Drosophila melanogaster: one gene and its partners. The protein of the gene in region 1 interacts with the protein of each later gene in a pairwise test. Each region holds a gene or a part of one and is shown in the gene's direction. Other genes may lie near its edges.

Region 1 (3,696 bases):
GGTTTCTAGGTTAGGAAGTCATCCTGGGATGTTAGCATAAAAGGCAATAACCCCACAAACTCGAAGGACAGTAAGACTTCCACAACATTGGCAGGTGTTTTATTCACTTTCAGGGATACTTTTCTAATCGGATCCTTTTTTTCGGTAATGTATAAATCTAGAAGTCATCTTTCAATGGATCTTAATGGTAAGATGTAAGCATTGTTTTTGACTTTGCTGCAATAATTTAGCACCAAGCTGAAATACATTTATCGTTTCAACAATATAAAGATGAGAGGTTAAAAAACAAGTGAAATGTTTGCTTATCAGTAAAACCGATGACTCACTGAAAAGGAACGAACTTTTTTGCCCAGCCCAAGTATTAATAAATAAACATGACGCACTAAAATATTTAATACTTATTCGAGAAATAATTTATAAAATGTAAAAGATAAGGCAACAGAAATGTTGAGTTCTTGTCAAATTGCATATTTCAACATTTTAATGTTGGCGCGCTTATTTGAATTTTCACTGCTATGTTCATAATTAAGGGTTGCACTGAAAACAAATCGATAAATATATAAAAAGAATGAAAAGAATAAAAAGAATGTTAAATGATTACAATATCGATTATTCAGTTTGGGGAAGGAGAAATGATTAATTTGCAGATACCTTTTTTTTTACTACAAATGATTGTATGAATAAAATACTCCCAAATTAATTGATTTTGATTATATATCGTTCGTATACATATGTTTTAATATTTATATAAACGGGATCTGCTGATTTTAAGAACATATGTATATACATGTTTATATATAATAAAAAAAGGTAAATGAATTCTGCGTGACTCAAAAGGTCACATTCACTTAGTTTTCATCATAAAGTTATACAATTTCGTTGTTATGGGTACATGGAATTTTGTGACTAACACTATTTATTACCATTAGCGTTTAAAATTCATGAAATTTGGATGCCTACTTGAGCTGTCAGGTGTTTTTCATTTTAACAATGGGATGACAACAGCACAATTGCTTAAATGAAATCATCAAAACGGATAATTTAATTACTTAGACAATTATTTCATCTAATATTGTAGTTATGCATAGAAGATATATACATATTTACATGTATATGTATCTTTGTACATATGTACATGTATTGTACAGATTAATGTCACGTACCGGCGAAACTTCAATTTGCTCAGAATATGACCTCTAAATTTTAATATTAATGAAATTGATGAATATGTATTTATGTGGGGATGTTAGGATTTTTCCATTTGCATTTACTTATGTACATATTTATGTACAATATAACCAATTGATGTTCATCAGACGTGCTCATATATGTGTATGTTTCGTGTGCCTATATATGCACGTATGTAATTGCCGGCAACTAAGCTCACAAGAAAGCTCAACTTCCGTCAACAAAATTGAGCAGGTGAAATGGCCATAAAAATATCCCAATAAACATTTGTCCGTATAAATTAAAAAATCCATATACTTTATAGGTCACTTTAACTGTCTAAGATCAGAAGTTTTTAAAGTTAAGCGTATCTTATGTACATATCTACTTATTATATTCATATAATGATGCTTGCAAAAAGTCTATTGGGTAGCATTGAGCTTTCACGTTACTGAGAGCAAAAGCTCTTTTTTATTGCGGTAGCCGCTCTCGAGCTTGACATGCACGTCCTTCATCTGACTTTGAACAATTTTTCGCCCGAGTTTTCGCCCATAGAAAGCGCTCAAAATTTCTCAGCCATCACAGTCGATTCCTTGCAAGCAAGCCGATAGGTAGTGTTTCCCTCAATTCCGCGGAAAACTTTCCAAGTACTAACTGCTTTACATATACATACATTACTTTCCAGATAAACAAAAAGTTAACCATGTCGAAGATTGGTATCAATGGATTTGGTCGCATCGGCCGCTTGGTTCTCCGCGCCGCCATTGATAAGGGCGCCAACGTTGTGGCCGTCAACGATCCCTTCATCGATGTGAACTACATGGTCTACCTGTTCAAGTTCGATTCGACCCACGGACGTTTTAAGGGCACCGTTGCCGCCGAGGGCGGTTTCCTGGTGGTCAACGGCCAGAAGATCACCGTCTTCAGCGAACGCGACCCGGCCAACATCAACTGGGCCAGCGCTGGTGCCGAATACATCGTGGAGTCCACTGGCGTGTTCACCACCATCGACAAGGCATCCACTCACTTGAAGGGCGGTGCCAAGAAGGTTATCATCTCGGCCCCATCCGCCGATGCTCCCATGTTCGTTTGCGGCGTCAACTTGGATGCCTACAAGCCCGACATGAAGGTGGTCTCCAACGCATCGTGCACCACCAACTGCTTGGCTCCTCTGGCCAAGGTGATCAACGACAACTTCGAGATCGTCGAGGGTCTGATGACCACCGTTCATGCCACCACCGCTACCCAGAAGACCGTCGATGGACCTTCCGGCAAGTTGTGGCGTGATGGACGTGGCGCTGCCCAGAACATCATTCCAGCTTCCACTGGAGCTGCCAAGGCCGTGGGCAAGGTTATCCCCGCCCTCAACGGTAAGCTCACCGGAATGGCATTCCGTGTGCCCACTCCCAACGTTTCCGTGGTCGATTTGACCGTGCGCTTGGGCAAGGGTGCGTCCTATGATGAAATTAAGGCCAAGGTTCAGGAGGCCGCCAACGGACCCCTGAAGGGTATCCTGGGATACACCGATGAGGAGGTCGTTTCTACCGATTTCCTCAGCGACACCCACTCGTCGGTGTTCGATGCCAAGGCTGGCATTTCGCTAAACGACAAGTTCGTGAAGCTGATCTCTTGGTACGACAACGAGTTTGGCTACTCCAACCGCGTCATCGACCTGATCAAGTACATGCAGAGCAAGGATTAAATGTGGAACACCAAGAACACTACCCACCCACACTCTACGTAAAAGTTAAAGATTAGGGCGCGGTAGAATGGGGTGAGACACTTCAGAAACGGCCTGAAAATGGCATCACATAACTTATATATATATTGCTCCCCGGTGGAGCATCACCTACATACATATGCGCTATGCTCTGAAATGCTACTGTTTTCGCTCTTCAATTACCAGCCACATTGGAAAATTATTAATATAATACATCCATTATACACATAAATATGTTTACTGTTGTTGAATAAAGTTTCACTCTGTGTGTAGTTTTAAAAATGCCGACTCATAAGCATTTAAATATTTATTTTTGCCTTTTTATTTGGTATAAACCGTTGAAATACCTAAAATAGTATGAGTATTACTTTAAATTGTTTTTTTCATTTGCTATATTTGGAAGTAATATATATATAACAGAAATGTGTCGATATTTTTTTTAAGTCGATTGGTTTTTGAATGATTACATAACTTGTTAAAGTTTTCAAATAATTTTAAATGAGCCTGATTCTATGGTATTGTTATCGGCAAAAATCGGGCTTTTACAGATTTCGATAAGAGCGACCTTAAACCCTTCAGTTGAAGCAATGTATAAACAGAAGTTATCGATATTTGGAGAGACTAACGGTGGCATATTGTCTGTGTAAGCCTGGCTTTTTGGATACATTTCTGAGAAAATAATGTTTCTCTGCCGATTTATATTTGCATAATTGGCAAATATAATCAAATATTTTGGTTGACTGCATCATTTCAACAGCACTTCACCATTATATCGTTATCGATATTTAATCGCTTGCTATACCGTCTTT
Region 2 (5,418 bases), 8.6 Mb from region 1:
CAAGCTTTGGAAAATATTTCTAGCCCCCTTTTTTTGTGCCACGCCCCTGTTCGGCCATTCGAGTACGAATATTATCGCCCACGATTTTTGGTTTTTGTTGCTGCTCTACTGTTTGTTTTCGATACCCAGGCACACAGACGCACACACAAACACGCATTGAAGTACACAGGAGGGGGTACTTGAGTTCTATGGCTCGAAAAGTTCTATGGTCCGTCCGTGAAAGAAAGAAATATTCAAACAAATTTCATCAACTAACAATCGAACGTTAAGTTTCATTTGCTATGTAAATGTAAATCGATCGGTGATAAGTCGGATGTAGCTACTATTTGGAAAAGCTTATATACATTAGTATGTATATAAATTCTGAAGAAAACAGGTTAAGTATTTTTGGGTTACCATCCTCTGGGCGAATAAAATTATCCTTAAAAGTGTCCTTTGATATAATTGAATAATATAGAGTTAGTACTTTTAAATTGGCCACCTGCTGCAGTCATTAAAAATTGGTTCGAAAATATTTAATCTCATGGAACAGCAAATTTAACTCAAATGAAACCGAATCCTGCCTATGGCATTTGCGCTGATACAAAAGATGGATTATCCCGCGAATTCCTTGGATCTTTTGTCGACCCTTTCGGCCTGTCAGATGGCATATTCCTCAGGTGCCCGGCTGTCTGCAGATTTTATGTGAGTTTTTGGGGGATAAATCAAGTGAGGGGCGGCGGTGCAAGGGGGGGGGGGTCAGTTTGGAGATCTCCAGTCAAACTGTACTAAAGATAGAGCCGAACACGTTCCCAGTGCTGCCACACAGATACACACCAATACCAATGTAAGAAACAAAAAAAAAAAAAAAAACTACAAAAAAAAAATACAGGAAACGCGGACGCCAATGGAGAAAAAAAAACAGGGGCAGGGGCAGGGGCAGTGGACAGTGGACGGGGGATAAGTGCATATGTGGCCCCTGAAACTTAACACTTCTTTGGCTCCGGCTGCGAATATTAAAATACCCACTTAAGGCCAACAATAACAGCGGCAAGAAGCAGAGAAAATGTGAAAAGGAGGAGCTAGAATTGAACTCAAGTACTTTCGTCTCGCACTGAAAGAAAAAAATACATTTATGTATGAATATGAAAAAAAAAACTATCTTAATATCATAGTGCTATTTTATTTACATGAAATCTATAAACTAAAATAGCGACTCACTAAGCGTGAAAAATCGAAATAGATCTAAATAATATTATAGCCAGCATTTCTCGCAGTGCACAAACATGATCTGGCATTGGCGCCCGTGCGTCTGAATATGGAAATCGAAATGGGTCCGAGTATGGGTGCGTTGTATATGGAATGGGATGGGATGTGGATAGGAGGACACTTGAGTTTTAGGCCGGGCTTATCTGCATTCTAGGCGAAGGGAGGGGAAGCGAAAGGAAAGGAAACCACTCGACGGCGCACTTGAGAAGCGGGAGAAGCAAGCGGCAGTCTGCTGCATGGATATTAACTAATTGTCGGCCACAAAAATGCATGGGAAGGCGATCGCAACACGCCATTTAACACATTTGCACGCTTCCAAAGTGTTTCCTTTTCGAATTTGCTTTGTATATAGTGGTTTACTCTGGCGAGTGACGGGGGTATATGCATTTTATTTTTTAGTTTGGGTTTTCAATTTAAGCTTAAGATGTGAAAATCTATACTTATACTTGTCTATACTCATTATTTCCGATTAAGCTTTCTGCAAACGTTCGCTTACTTTCGGTTATACAATAAATAATGTTAAAAATCTGAATAGCCTTTTTTCTAGATGTAAAATGTAGAATATTTTGAATATTGCGCCAACAGTGTGACCCCTGCTAGAACGCAGAAATGTTTTTTTGCGAGTATGTGGCAACGTTGGTCGTAAGTTTTTCCCCATGCGCGAACGGTCTCACCGATTTCCTGTAATGCATCATCGATAATCTATCGATTGCTGAGTAGTGCAAAAAAAGTGGGCAAAAAAGGTGCAATGTTTAGCGTTTAAGTGCGTTAAGTTGCTTTTGCGGACGACAACAACAACACCAGCAGCATTGCCGGTCAAATTGATCTAATTGATTTTCGGGCAGTGCCAACAGCAACTAAAACCAAATTAATAAATGAATCCCTGCGCATACATAAACATATAAAAACACACACACACACACATACATTCGCATAAAGGACGCGAACCGAAAAGGGAAAAACAAACACAAAGGAAAAAAAAAGGAAAAAGGAGAGCGCAGCTTTTTCAGAAATTGGGTCATTTGTTGTTGTTGTTGTTGTTGTTGCTGCTGTTGCTGGTGATTTTCAAACGAATTTCATTTGTTGCTGTCGTCGTCGGTTCGGTGTTGTTGTTGTTGTTGCTGTTGTTGCAATGGTCGTGGACGTTGTTGTCGCTGACAGCTAAATGTTATGGCAACACTTGCAACCTGAATTCGTGTGGGTAAGTAGTGTTTGCATTTATGTTGAATTTATTTTAACTTATATACCTTATACTTAACTTATTTTTGTGCTTTTCGCCAAATAACTATTCATATTTGGCAAAAATTAATAGTGAGGAGCGGAAAGCGAAAGGATAATAGGGTAGCGGAGACGAAGCCTTATATTTCCACCAGAAAATCCTGGCACAATTTATGACAACTCTACACTTGTGTGTGTTTGTGTTGGTGAGTAACTTAACAACTATGACTTCTTTTTTTTTTTTTTGCTATGTTAAAAAAAAAATGTGATATTTCATTATTCAGTTTAGTTTGAAGTAATAGAAATTCAAAAGTATTTGTGCTATATTTTATTATTTACTCCCTAATAACCAATGCCTATTCCTTTCTATTCGCAGAGTGAGACAGCGGAGTAGCTTCTTCAAATCAAAGGATACCACTGCAGCAGCCATCCAGCCAGGAGCCTTAAAAAAGCTGTTCAGCTTGAGAAATCCGAAACGCAGACTATAGACAAATAATACCACCAGATTCATTCCGTGCACAATGAGCGTGGTGGGTAAGCAACTAAATCCGGTGCAATCCTCCGGTGCAGGCGCAGTGACAACGTCTTCCTCCGCGGCCGCAGGATCCTCTTCTTCGAACAGTGGAGTGGAGGCCAACGGCGGCAGTGGAGGATCGTCGGGAGCTGCAGCAGCGGGCGCTGGTGCCTCCGGTGATGCCAAACGGCCTGCGGAGTCTTCCAGCGTGACTCCCGACGAGGTGCTCCATCTGACCAAGATCACGGACGACTATCTCTGCTCCGCCAATGCAAATGTGTTCGAGATTGATTTCACGCGGTTCAAGATTCGCGACCTGGAGAGCGGCGCTGTGCTCTTCGAGATCGCCAAACCGCCGAGTGAACAATATCCGGAAGGACTGTCCTCGGATGAAACCATGCTGGCGGCTGCCGAGAAATTGTCACTGGATGACACTGCCGATCCAAATGCCGGACGCTATGTGCGCTATCAGTTCACACCGGCATTTCTCAACCTCAAAACAGTGGGAGCCACGTAGGTTATACAGTATTTGCATTTGTTTTAAATGCCTCTCAATTTGTAAGTTTCCCTTATTTGCAGTGTGGAATTCACTGTGGGCAGCCAGCCGCTTAATAATTTTCGTATGATCGAACGCCACTTCTTCCGCGATCGCCTGCTAAAGACGTTTGACTTTGAGTTCGGCTTTTGCTTTCCATTTTCGAAGAATACGGTTGAGCACATCTACGAGTTTCCTAACCTTCCACCCGACCTAGGTGAGCAATTTTTACATAATCCCAGCCAGCATGACACGCAATTGAAAGTTGCTGCCAAAAGTTGAAGGGGTTTGTGGGTCAAGGTCGTTTACGATTTGCGCCTGTGAGATGAGGCTTCTATTGGTCAGATTGCGAGCAGCTATCATGGTTTTTATTTTTTGTTATCGGTTTGTAGGATGTGGACTTATTAATGAAATGCAATTCACATAAATATGTTCGTTCGTTTTCCATTTTTTTTTAGTTGCTGAGATGATATCGAGCCCCTTTGAGACGCGCTCGGACAGCTTTTACTTTGTGGGAAACCGACTCGTCATGCACAACAAAGCCGACTACGCCTACGATGGCGGCAATATAGTCTAGAAACTCAACTATAATGGAACTGCAACTAGAGCAAAACTAATAACTAAAGAACTAGAAACTACAGAAGCTGTGAGACAAAATCAATGACTTGTCACACACACACACACACGAAACACCCACTCAATGTCAACAATCACACTCACAAACACATCGAATCGAATCGAGGAATATTATCACAGCCATTTTAGCCTTAGCACACCAAAGTTTTACCCACCATTCCTGTTTGATGTATTTAGCATCAAGATATGATCTCCTGCAAACGGAAACTAACACACAAACACAACAACAACACACTGAAGCACGCGGATTGTGTTCATTTATCAATGATTTCCACTTTGACTATATAATTTTAAGTGCTATGTGATTTCCCTTGATTTATATATGTATTTGTACACACTTATTTAATCCTAATAAGTAAGGACACTCCACACACACACCCAACAAGAAACAACAAATACATATATATAAAATACGTACGTATACACACACGCACACACAGAACTTATGAGAAGCGAATTGGAAATTTTCAAAAAAAAAAAATTGAGGAAAATCCATTTGCCGTCAATTTTTGTATGCAGCATACGAAATCATACGAAATCTATCAGCTTCTTCATGGCATTTTTTTCGTGTCTGTGTATGTATATTTTTTAAACAAAAACCAAATGGAAAAAGACGAACGTAACTGGAAATCCAAAAAAAAAAAAACACTAACGATTACACGCCGAACAAGAATGATAAATTAAATTACATTTTAAATGTACATACACCACTATAAATTGAAACTTTTCTAAGGGGGTTAAATCGAGGGCATTTCGTGCACTAAAGGTGCTTAAGAAATTTATTATATTCTGAAAAATCATCAAGTTCAGAACGCTTATATCAAAAAAAAAAATATATATATTGCTATCCCGCTCTTTTCGGTGAAGATTCTTGAAGATCTGCGTAGATCGTTGAAGAATGTCTTCTCGAGTTCTGAAGTGAAATTAATTTGAATTCCCGTTCCCAAGAAAAACAAAGCGTTCACTTTCCAATTTAGCTAAAGTCGATCTACGCGATTGACTTCTTTGTACATTTGGTTAAAATATCAAAATTTGGTCTACTCAGTTCTATTCAGGAACTCGCTGACTATTGTTAGAAACTCCTGCGGCTTTTCAAAGTGCACTAAATGTCCGGCATCCAGCCAGTGGATCTCAGAATTGGGAAACATTTTCTGTATCTGTGGCCATTGCTCGCGTCTAATAAAGATGGCAAAAAGATTCAATTAGTTTAGTTTACTTAGCACCTCGGGATCCAAGTTACCTCATGTAAGGTGATCGCGTGCCGCAA
Region 3 (4,628 bases), on another chromosome or scaffold:
TTTCGATCGGTGCCAGTTGCTTATACGACACGGTGGCCGGTCGAACTGGTGGGCTCCAGCTCCCAGCTCCCAGCTCCCAGCTCCCAGCCTCAGTCAAATCGAGTCAAAAAGTTAATTACAGTGAATGCGGCCAACGATTTTCATGCACTCTTGACACCGCCCGGTACGTGACAATATGAGAGGCACTCATTCCGCGACGCAGAGTTGGCCACAGTTGGGTCAAAAAAACTAGGGGGGCAAAGGCTAAATTGAGGCTAAGCTTTAGCTGCCTCATTACACTCAGAAATATGCACTAACAGCTAGCGTATGGCCAGAATTGAAACATGACACACACATTTTATATGCCCGTTAATTACTGTAATTCAAGATCAAAATTATTGGCCATTTAAAATTGTTGAACCTGATAATTTGCTATGACGACCACCAAATTATTTATTTTAGTGCAGTTCATCGATAGATCGCTCCCATCAGCTCAATCTGCACTTGGCTGCCCCAGATCCCAGATCCAGGAATTTCGTCTGCCTGGTACTTACGCAAATGCTCAGATTGAACTGCCAGTCTATCGTCTGCAGTCTATCCATTTCTCATTAAAACTTTCTTTGCTGTCTGCTCCACAATTACCCGAACGACTTCATCTGCTCGATCCACGGATCCATCCGCGGGTAATGACAGAGCCGGCAAAAAATCTGCCAAAACCAATAGGAAATCATCAGCCAACGGTCAGTGGGTTAATTTTGGCCCACCAAAAATACTGAAATGAATTGGAGAATCCCCGAAGATGGCCTGCAATTAATCATAGATTGAGGCTTATTCGCTATCCAGCGAAAGTAATTTGTAGCCGACAAGAGACCCTGCAGATCGCTTGTAGTTACGATTATCGCACAGCCCACCAGGTGGTCTTCCCACCATGGACACTTTCACATGTCGCAGAGTTGGCGCAGATGGGGAGAAAGGTTGCGAGAGGAAGAAGAGTCGTCGAACATGCAAATGCCTCATCAATCAGCTCCTCCGCCCTTCCCCTTCAAATCGGTGACGTGCTTTTGACACAAAACCCGGCTACTGTGCTACCGCTTGCACATGGCAATCAACGCGTCAAGCGGCCAGGAAACGGATCCCGATTCCGACCCCAGTTCCAATTCCCGTCTGCGGCACACAGAAAAAAGTTATACCTACTGAACTAAATGTGACATTATTTTATACGTATAGAATACGAGAGATAGCTCATATAAATCGCATTGAATTTATATGCAAACCTATTTCTAAACATTCATACCTAAGTGCAATTCATCGTGCGAAAGTAATGCCTTCTTGCGCGCTGTGCACCCAACATTTTCATCCCATCTCCATTTCCATCTCCGCCTCAAACTCCCCATTTCCATTTCCATTTGCCGTTTGGCTTGCAGCAAAATGTGTGAATTTCTTTAGTTTGCAGTAGGCAGCACACAATTTTTGACAGCTGCCTTCGAAATGGGAACGGTCAGCCGAGGAAAATGCATCCATCCTCCGGTGCAGAACAGTCGCACCGCAGTTCTGGGAAATCTGCACACGCTGGTCTTGTTTGTGGGTCAGCCTCAGCCGATGGAGGCGAATAGAACTGCAAATGGGCAGACTCCACCCAGAATGTCGGGGCTTATTAGCTGCACGCTAATTTATTCCGGCAAACAGAAGGCACGGCTTCTGTTGTCGAAGATTTCAGAGCCGCAGATCGCAGACGGGCAGGCGCCAGACAAATGAATGTTGTGAAATCTGGCGATTGCCTGGAAACTTGTCCGCAAAGAGAAAAAAGAAAAAAGAGAAAAGTGCTCAAGGAAAAGCAATATAAATAAAGAAGAATGGCTTGCACATGTTACATAAAACGAGAAGCTTAAAGATAATGGAAACAAAATTTGGATTTGAATATGGGAGTAGGCCTTGAACGAGTCCGTCTAGTCCGTCAGTATCGAGTCAACAACCTACATATTAGTTGCACTCACTTCGTGTCTGAGATCAAACGAAAAAATATTAGAACCAAAAGTTTTGAAAGTTTTTTTTTTATTATAGTTTCAAACTTAAGTGCAAAATGTTTCGGTCGTGTGTGCCCAAGGCGATTACCTCTAGTCGCTGTTTCGCGCGGATGTACTCGAAGGACGTGCGCTTTGGCTCCGGAGTACGGGCAATGATGATCCGGGGCGTTGATATTCTGGCTGATGCCGTTGCTGTGACCATGGGGCCCAAGGGTCGCAGTGTGATCGTGGAGCGACCATGGACCTCGCCGAAGATCACCAAGGACGGCTTCACGGTCGCGCGCTCGATTGCCCTAAAGGACCAGCACATGAATCTGGGCGCCAAGTTGGTCCAGGATGTGGCCGATAATACGAATGAGTCGGCGGGTGACGGCACGACCACAGCAACAGTTTTGGCTCGAGCGATTGCCAAGGAAGGATTCAATCAGATTACCATGGGGGCTAATCCCGTGGAGATTCGTCGAGGTGTCATGTTAGCTGTTGACGTCGTAAAGGACAAGCTGAAGGAAATGTCCAAGGCAGTGGAAACGCGTGAGGAGATCCAACAAGTAGCCACCCTCTCCGCGAACGGGGATACTGAAATTGGGCGGCTCATTGGTGAGGCCACCGACAAAGTGGGTCCAAGAGGAACTATTACTGTAAAGGATGGCAAGCGCCTGAAGGACGAGCTAAATATTATCCAGGGCCTGCGCTTCGACAACGGCTATGTGTCGCCCTTTTTCGTAAACAGCTCCAAGGGGTCCAAGGTGGAGTTTGCCAACGCCCTTGTAATGATATCCCTGAAGAAGATCACTGGACTCTCGCAAATAGTTAAAGGTCTGGAGCAATCCCTGAGGCAGCGTCGTCCCCTGATCATCATAGCCGAGGACATCAGCGGGGAAGCCCTCAATGCTTTGGTCCTGAACAAGCTCAGGTTGGGCCTCCAGGTGTGCGCCGTCAAATCGCCCAGCTATGGACACCACCGCAAGGAGCTTATAGGCGATATATCCGCTGCCACGGGAGCAACTATTTTCGGCGATGACATCAACTATTCCAAAATGGAGGAGGCTAAGCTGGAGGATCTGGGTCAGGTTGGCGAGGCTGTGATTAGCAAGGACAGCACCATGCTCCTGCAGGGCAAACCCAAGACAGGACTTTTGGAAATGCGCATCCAGCAAATTCAAGATGAACTGGCGGAAAAGCAAATCAAGCCAGAGCAGCGGGATCGTCTGCGCCAACGCCTCTCCGCCCTCACGAAGGGCGTGGCAGTGCTGCACATTGGTGGAGGCAGTGAAGTTGAGGTGAATGAGAAAAAGGACCGTGTGGTGGACGCCTTGAATGCCACTCGAGCGGCCATCGAAGAGGGAATTGTCCCAGGTGGCGGTACGGCCTTTTTGCGCTGCATTCCCTACCTCCAGGAACTCAAAACGGAGAGTGCAGATCTCCAGAAGGGCGTCGATATCGTCTGCAATGCCCTGAGGATGCCTTGCCAGACCATAGCTCAAAACGCCGGAGTTGATGGCCCAATGGTGGTGGCCAAGGTGTTGAATGGCTCGGAAGACTACGGCTACGATGCCATGGGCGATGAGTACTGTCGGCTGGTCGAGAAGGGCATTATTGATCCCACAAAGGTGCTGCGGACCGCCATCACGGATGCAGCTGGAGTGGCCTCTCTTCTGAGCACCACCGAGGTGGTTATCACCGACTCCCGGAACGATGATCTTTTGTCCAAGTTGTCAGGAGCTGGCGGCGGAATGGATGATGGACTGGACATGAACATGGGTGGCTTAGAGGAGCTGGCAGCCTTAAGTGGATTGGGTGGCATGGGTGGTATGGGAGGCATGGGTGGTATGGGAGGTATGGGAGGAATGGGAGGTGGATTCGGCGGAATGGGCGCTGGTGGCGGAATGAGCGCTTCTGCCAGCAATGACGGTCCCACTGCCGAGGAGATGAATGAAATGGTCAAGGCTATTCCCGGCATGGAGCAAGTAGAGGTGCGTGACATTGACAGTGGGATGATGTAGAACCCGCTTCCGTTATCCGCTCCAGCTCAAATCGTTTCTATAGTTCAAATATCTGTTGAGTGTCTAAATTTTATGTGTTCATCTAAAATATAAATTGACAATCGAAAACGAATTGTATAAAACAGTCGGGAACCCTTCCAAATGACTTGAGAAAGTGAATTATTGGCCTTTTCCCTACACCAGCAGTTTTCTGGCCAAATATCTTTCAACCGGTTCATTATGCTGGTCTGCAAAAAGCTACACTTCCTTCACACTTTCGGTTTTTAATTGCAGCCGAAAATTTGGAACGGCGACCGGCAGAGCGAATCCAGCTGCAATGCGATGATCATTTGCATAAAACAAACAGCAATTTCTCACACATGTGAGCCGACCCTCGGTTTTTTCCCCCGTACTTTGCATGGTTTGTGTTTGCAGATTTCATTTGTGGCCCGCAGCTAAAAAAGCGATTCGTTACATGAGAGTGAGTGCGCAAGAAGGGGGGCCTGAGGCTGGGAGCCTCCACAAGAGCGTCACATCAAACATGCATCAATAAATAAGTAATTCCAATTTGCAAATTTTTCATCGAGGCCCGCAAACGAACCGAAAATGGTGGACGGACCCATCGAGCATCGAGCGTGGGCCA
Region 4 (4,014 bases), on another chromosome or scaffold:
GTGTGTCCAAAAAGGAGCTAATGACTGGCAGCGGGTCGGGTTTTTGTTTGCCTAGATCTGAATAAGAAACCCGTTTCGGATCGTTTCTGGGTAGAGAGTGTGAAAAGCGAACGGAATCTTCCTTACATGCGTATAAATATTGGCCAATCTCAGTCGTAAATGAATCAAGTGGGTTCAATGATGTGCTAATACAAGGAGCCCACTGTGAGATTAATGATCATACCTACTTTCATTAATTGGCATGATTAGTTAACTTGATATGCCAGTAATATTATAGCTTAACTAAATATAATATATTAAATATTTTCAAGTATCAAAATTATGTAAAAAGTAACGATAACTCATCACATATTGACATATTGAGAGCTGGTCACGAAAAATCGGACATGATTGCCATCAAGTTGAAGCACATGGTTCCAGCCTTTCAACTTACCATAAATTTTAACATTCAGGTGTATTAGTAGTATTAGGAATGATTTTAATGTGATCGTAAAAAAAGAAAATTATTTGGAATTGAAGGTTGGACCTCTTCAAACAAAAGACTTAAGAAGCGAACTTGTTTTTTTTTTGGGCACCATTTTGTTTTAACCTTGCAATAAAAAATGAATAAGTAAAGGTTTCGTTACCAAATACTTTCTTTAATTTCACTCTTGTTTTTCTTCTTAAAAACCTAAACACATGTTAAGTTAAACTATAAATCCATAAATGTGAGGGTGTGGTGTCTAGCCCAGGAACAGCAGCTTCTTGAGCAGCTTCAGCTTGAGCAGGAAGGATTGGTCGTCGGATGGGTTGACGGACTCACTGCCAGGACCTTCGAAGCCATCGGGAATGGCCTCCTCGCGAGGAGCAGCACTGGTGGCCATGAAGCACACGGCAAGGCAAAGGAAGACGCTCTGTAAAGGAAGGGTCAGTAAAGTTCCTTGGTATTCCGTGTCGATTTTTAGTGACGCACCAGGAGCAAGAACTTCATGTTGTATGTGGCTAGATGTATGTAGTAATCGATCGATGGATTCGCACTGCGCGTTGACAGACCTGCTTGCACTGATCACCAGACCCCGCCGACCCGTCTATTTATATGCCTGTTCAGTTGAGAGTGAGTTGCTCGGCCGGCAGACCGCTCGTCTTTCATAGAAACTAAAACAACGCGAAGCATCAGCCAAAGATTCAGTGATTCACATGTCGGCGGGCGGGGTGGTATATCAATCTGTTTGGACTATTAAAAGTGATTTTAGTCCAACACGCAATGTGATAACAAAAGCCAGGTTCCCTTTTTCGTAGCCAAGTAGATTACCTTATTGTGGTGCCATTGTTGAACTTGCGACGCCTTATGTTTGGGCAATTTGTTGACTTGCGGTTTCTCCGGCTTCACTTCTTTTTGCTAATCGGTGTTTCCTTGGTTCTGGGTTCTATTTGACTTGGCCATTAGCTGCGAGCGGAATCTCTGCTAAATATTAATTAGCAACTTGACATTGGCCTTAACGTTCAGATCAGCCATTAGCTTTTCGTTCACACCTCCATAATAGGCTAGAGTAGCTGAATTATCCGAATATAGTTATATTTTTAAGTGTGTATGCTGGCAGACGGCGAATAACCCATTGCGCAAAATTGATAAGATTTTGAGATTTAAATTTAAGCAGGCGGTTTGAAAATGCCGACCTGCCAACTTTTCGAAATTAGCTGCATTGAGTAAATTAAAAGTCGAATGTAGAGTTATTTGTAAATTTCTAAATATTTCACATCCAAGCTAAAATCTGTAAAATCGAAGTAATTTTATTCTTATAATTAAATGTGTTTACATTTTAATTAAGATTTGCTTTCCATAATTATCAATCAAGATTTACAAAATGGAGTAGAAAAGAGGAAAATACATAAATCTCCTCTTTGATTTTCCCACTTTTGAAAATTTAAATAAATAGCGCCAATTTTCCAGTGCTGCCACTCTTATCAAAAAGTTTGCAAGAGAACAAAAAATCGATTGGCCTCGCCAACAACATTACTCACTGCACTAATCGATTATAATTATATATTAAAGCACAAAAAATACCAACAGATATCGAAATTCGATAGCATCGATACGCTGTAACAAACAAATAAAAAAAAAGAAACAAATTAGTCAAATTACAAAATTTATCAGTTATCCAATTGCACACAAAAACCAACTCAAAATTAGCCCAATTTCCATCGCAGGCCCACACGAAGAGAACAAACGGATACAATGACGGGTTCGTTCAGTGTGAAGCTCAAGTCCAAAAAAGGTCAATTCATTGTCAACGACCTGAACGAGCATACGACGCTGGGGGAGCTGAAAACGAAAATAGTCCAGGCCACCGACATCGAAGCGACGCAATTGCACGTCCTAGTAGGCTATCCGCCCAAGCCATTGGATCTCTCGCAGCAGCAGGAGCAGCGCGCCCTCAAGGCGGTCGGAATCAACAGCGGAGAGACGCTGATTGTGGAGGAGAAGGCTGCCCCTGCTCCTGCTGCCCCTGTGCCTGGCGGCACCACCGTGGAGGATGACGAGGCGCTGGCGCGTCGTCTGCAGGCCGAGGAGGAGGCACAGCTGCTGCAGGAAACCGCTGGCGGTCCAGTCGCCCAGGCAGCAGACTACCAGCTGCCAGTGGCGCCGACGGAAAGCGGACCGAATGGCGACTTTAATGGCATACTGCTGAAGAAGGTGGTGCCGGCGGACAATTCGTGCCTCTTCACCAGCATACGATTCGTGCTCAACGGGAAGGTGGACAACGAGGGCAGCGAAATGATGCGTCACATCATTGCGCAGGAGGTGGCCGCCGATCCGCAGAGCTACAACGACGCCGTGCTGGGCAAATCGAATGCCGAGTACTGCGCCTGGATACAGAAGGCGGATTCGTGGGGCGGCGCCATCGAAGTGTCCATACTGTCCAACTACTATGGCATTGAGATCGATGTGGTGGACATACAAAACGCCATTATCAATCGCTTTGGCGAGGACAAGAACTTTGGACTGCGTGTCTTCCTGCTCTTCGATGGCATCCACTACGATCCGCTGTACATGGAGACATCGCCGAGTGCTGCGCCGGCCACCATCTTCCCGGTGGAAGAGCTGGGCGTCTATCAGCAGGCCGAGCAGTTGGCCAACGAGGCGCAGTCCTCCCGCCAATACACCAATGTGGATAAATTCACGCTGCGCTGCATGCAGTGCGATGTCAGGCTGGTCGGCCAGGTGCAGGCCCAGGAGCATGCCAAGCAAACCGGACACAAGAACTTTGGAGAGATTTAATACGTCCTGATCTTCGGCACCGTCTACATTGTGGCATTCATGCTGTTCGCCTACTACCTGCTCACCACCTAGCCACAATCGCCGTGCGAGGAGTCATCTCATTAGCAGTACTACCTCCACATCACCGCCTACCTAAGTTATTAATTATTGAATTGAGCCCAGCCGCCTGTATTCATGTTAGTCCCCTTTTAATCCCTTTCGGAATGCAATAAAATATACCTTCATCTACACTAGGCAAGTCTTGGAGTTGGTACCTATATAGCTATAAGGTCAAGTTCCAGAAAGCTGTCCTGAATTCACAAGGCAACCAACTACGTACGTACTTTTTTACTGAGCGTCGAACAAAACCGAGGCTCTCAACTGTTCAATTACATTAAATTTAAAATAGTTATCTTAGGTCCAGTGCTAGGAAGCCCATGGTGGGGTCATGGCAGCGGGATTCTGGAGGTAGGACATCACCACCGCACTGACGCTCAACATAAAGGAGGAGAGCACCTGTTTGGCATCGTCGCTGGCCCGAGAACTGGCGAAACTAATGCAGGAGCAGTACAGCGCAAACCAGGCGCACCACTTGAGCTGTGTAGGTGGGTTACATACTGATAAATGCCAAGTCACTTGGTTGTAATCTTTGGGGTGTTATTACCTTCATCATCAGTCCACACATGGAGAAAATCATGCCCAGAATGTTCATGTAATCCGGCATCATGTCCTCGTTGGCGCCGCCGCTCTGGCCCTGGTTCTTGGGCGCCTTGTAG

Evidence for each region.
Region 2: the proteins of Gapdh2 (region 1) and unc-119 interact in a two-hybrid assay, tested with the Drosophila melanogaster proteins (one large-scale study listed by BioGRID).
Region 3: the proteins of Gapdh2 (region 1) and Hsp60B interact in a two-hybrid assay, tested with the Drosophila melanogaster proteins (one large-scale study listed by BioGRID).
Region 4: the proteins of Gapdh2 (region 1) and Yod1 interact in a two-hybrid assay, tested with the Drosophila melanogaster proteins (one large-scale study listed by BioGRID).

What each region holds. Positions count from the first base shown.
Region 1 is NC_004354.4:15,866,466-15,870,161, forward strand, and holds Gapdh2 (glyceraldehyde 3 phosphate dehydrogenase 2), read left to right. Parts: upstream 1-1,679; 5' UTR 1,680-1,778; intron 1,779-1,852; 5' UTR 1,853-1,870; coding exon 1,871-2,869; 3' UTR 2,870-3,196; downstream 3,197-3,696.
Region 2 is NC_004354.4:7,287,820-7,293,237, reverse strand, and holds unc-119 (unc-119), read left to right. Parts: upstream 1-1,939; 5' UTR 1,940-2,445; exon of another isoform or gene 2,446-2,449; intron 2,450-2,560; 5' UTR 2,561-2,672; intron 2,673-2,842; 5' UTR 2,843-2,987; coding exon 2,988-3,493; intron 3,494-3,559; coding exon 3,560-3,732; intron 3,733-3,973; coding exon 3,974-4,092; 3' UTR 4,093-4,871; downstream 4,872-5,418. Other genes in the region: CG2059 (uncharacterized protein), read right to left, coding at 5,189-5,327, 5,392-5,418. UniProt on the Drosophila melanogaster protein: Myristoyl-binding protein that acts as a cargo adapter: specifically binds the myristoyl moiety of a subset of N-terminally myristoylated proteins and is required for their localization.
Region 3 is NT_033779.5:726,449-731,076, forward strand, and holds Hsp60B (heat shock protein 60B), read left to right. Parts: upstream 1-1,913; 5' UTR 1,914-2,059; coding exon 2,060-4,006; 3' UTR 4,007-4,116; downstream 4,117-4,628. UniProt on the Drosophila melanogaster protein: Prevents misfolding and promotes the refolding and proper assembly of unfolded polypeptides generated under stress conditions.
Region 4 is NT_037436.4:5,132,176-5,136,189, forward strand, and holds Yod1 (Yod1 deubiquitinase), read left to right. Parts: upstream 1-1,695; 5' UTR 1,696-1,764; intron 1,765-2,044; exon of another isoform or gene 2,045-2,170; 5' UTR 2,171-2,215; coding exon 2,216-3,259; coding exon of another isoform or gene 3,260-3,331; 3' UTR 3,332-3,495; downstream 3,496-4,014. Other genes in the region: CG15213 (uncharacterized protein), read right to left, coding at 723-893, 953-970; CG10674 (uncharacterized protein), read right to left, coding at 3,665-3,835, 3,903-4,014. UniProt on the Drosophila melanogaster protein: Hydrolase that can remove conjugated ubiquitin from proteins and may therefore play an important regulatory role at the level of protein turnover by preventing degradation. Involved in the regulation of DNA damage repair.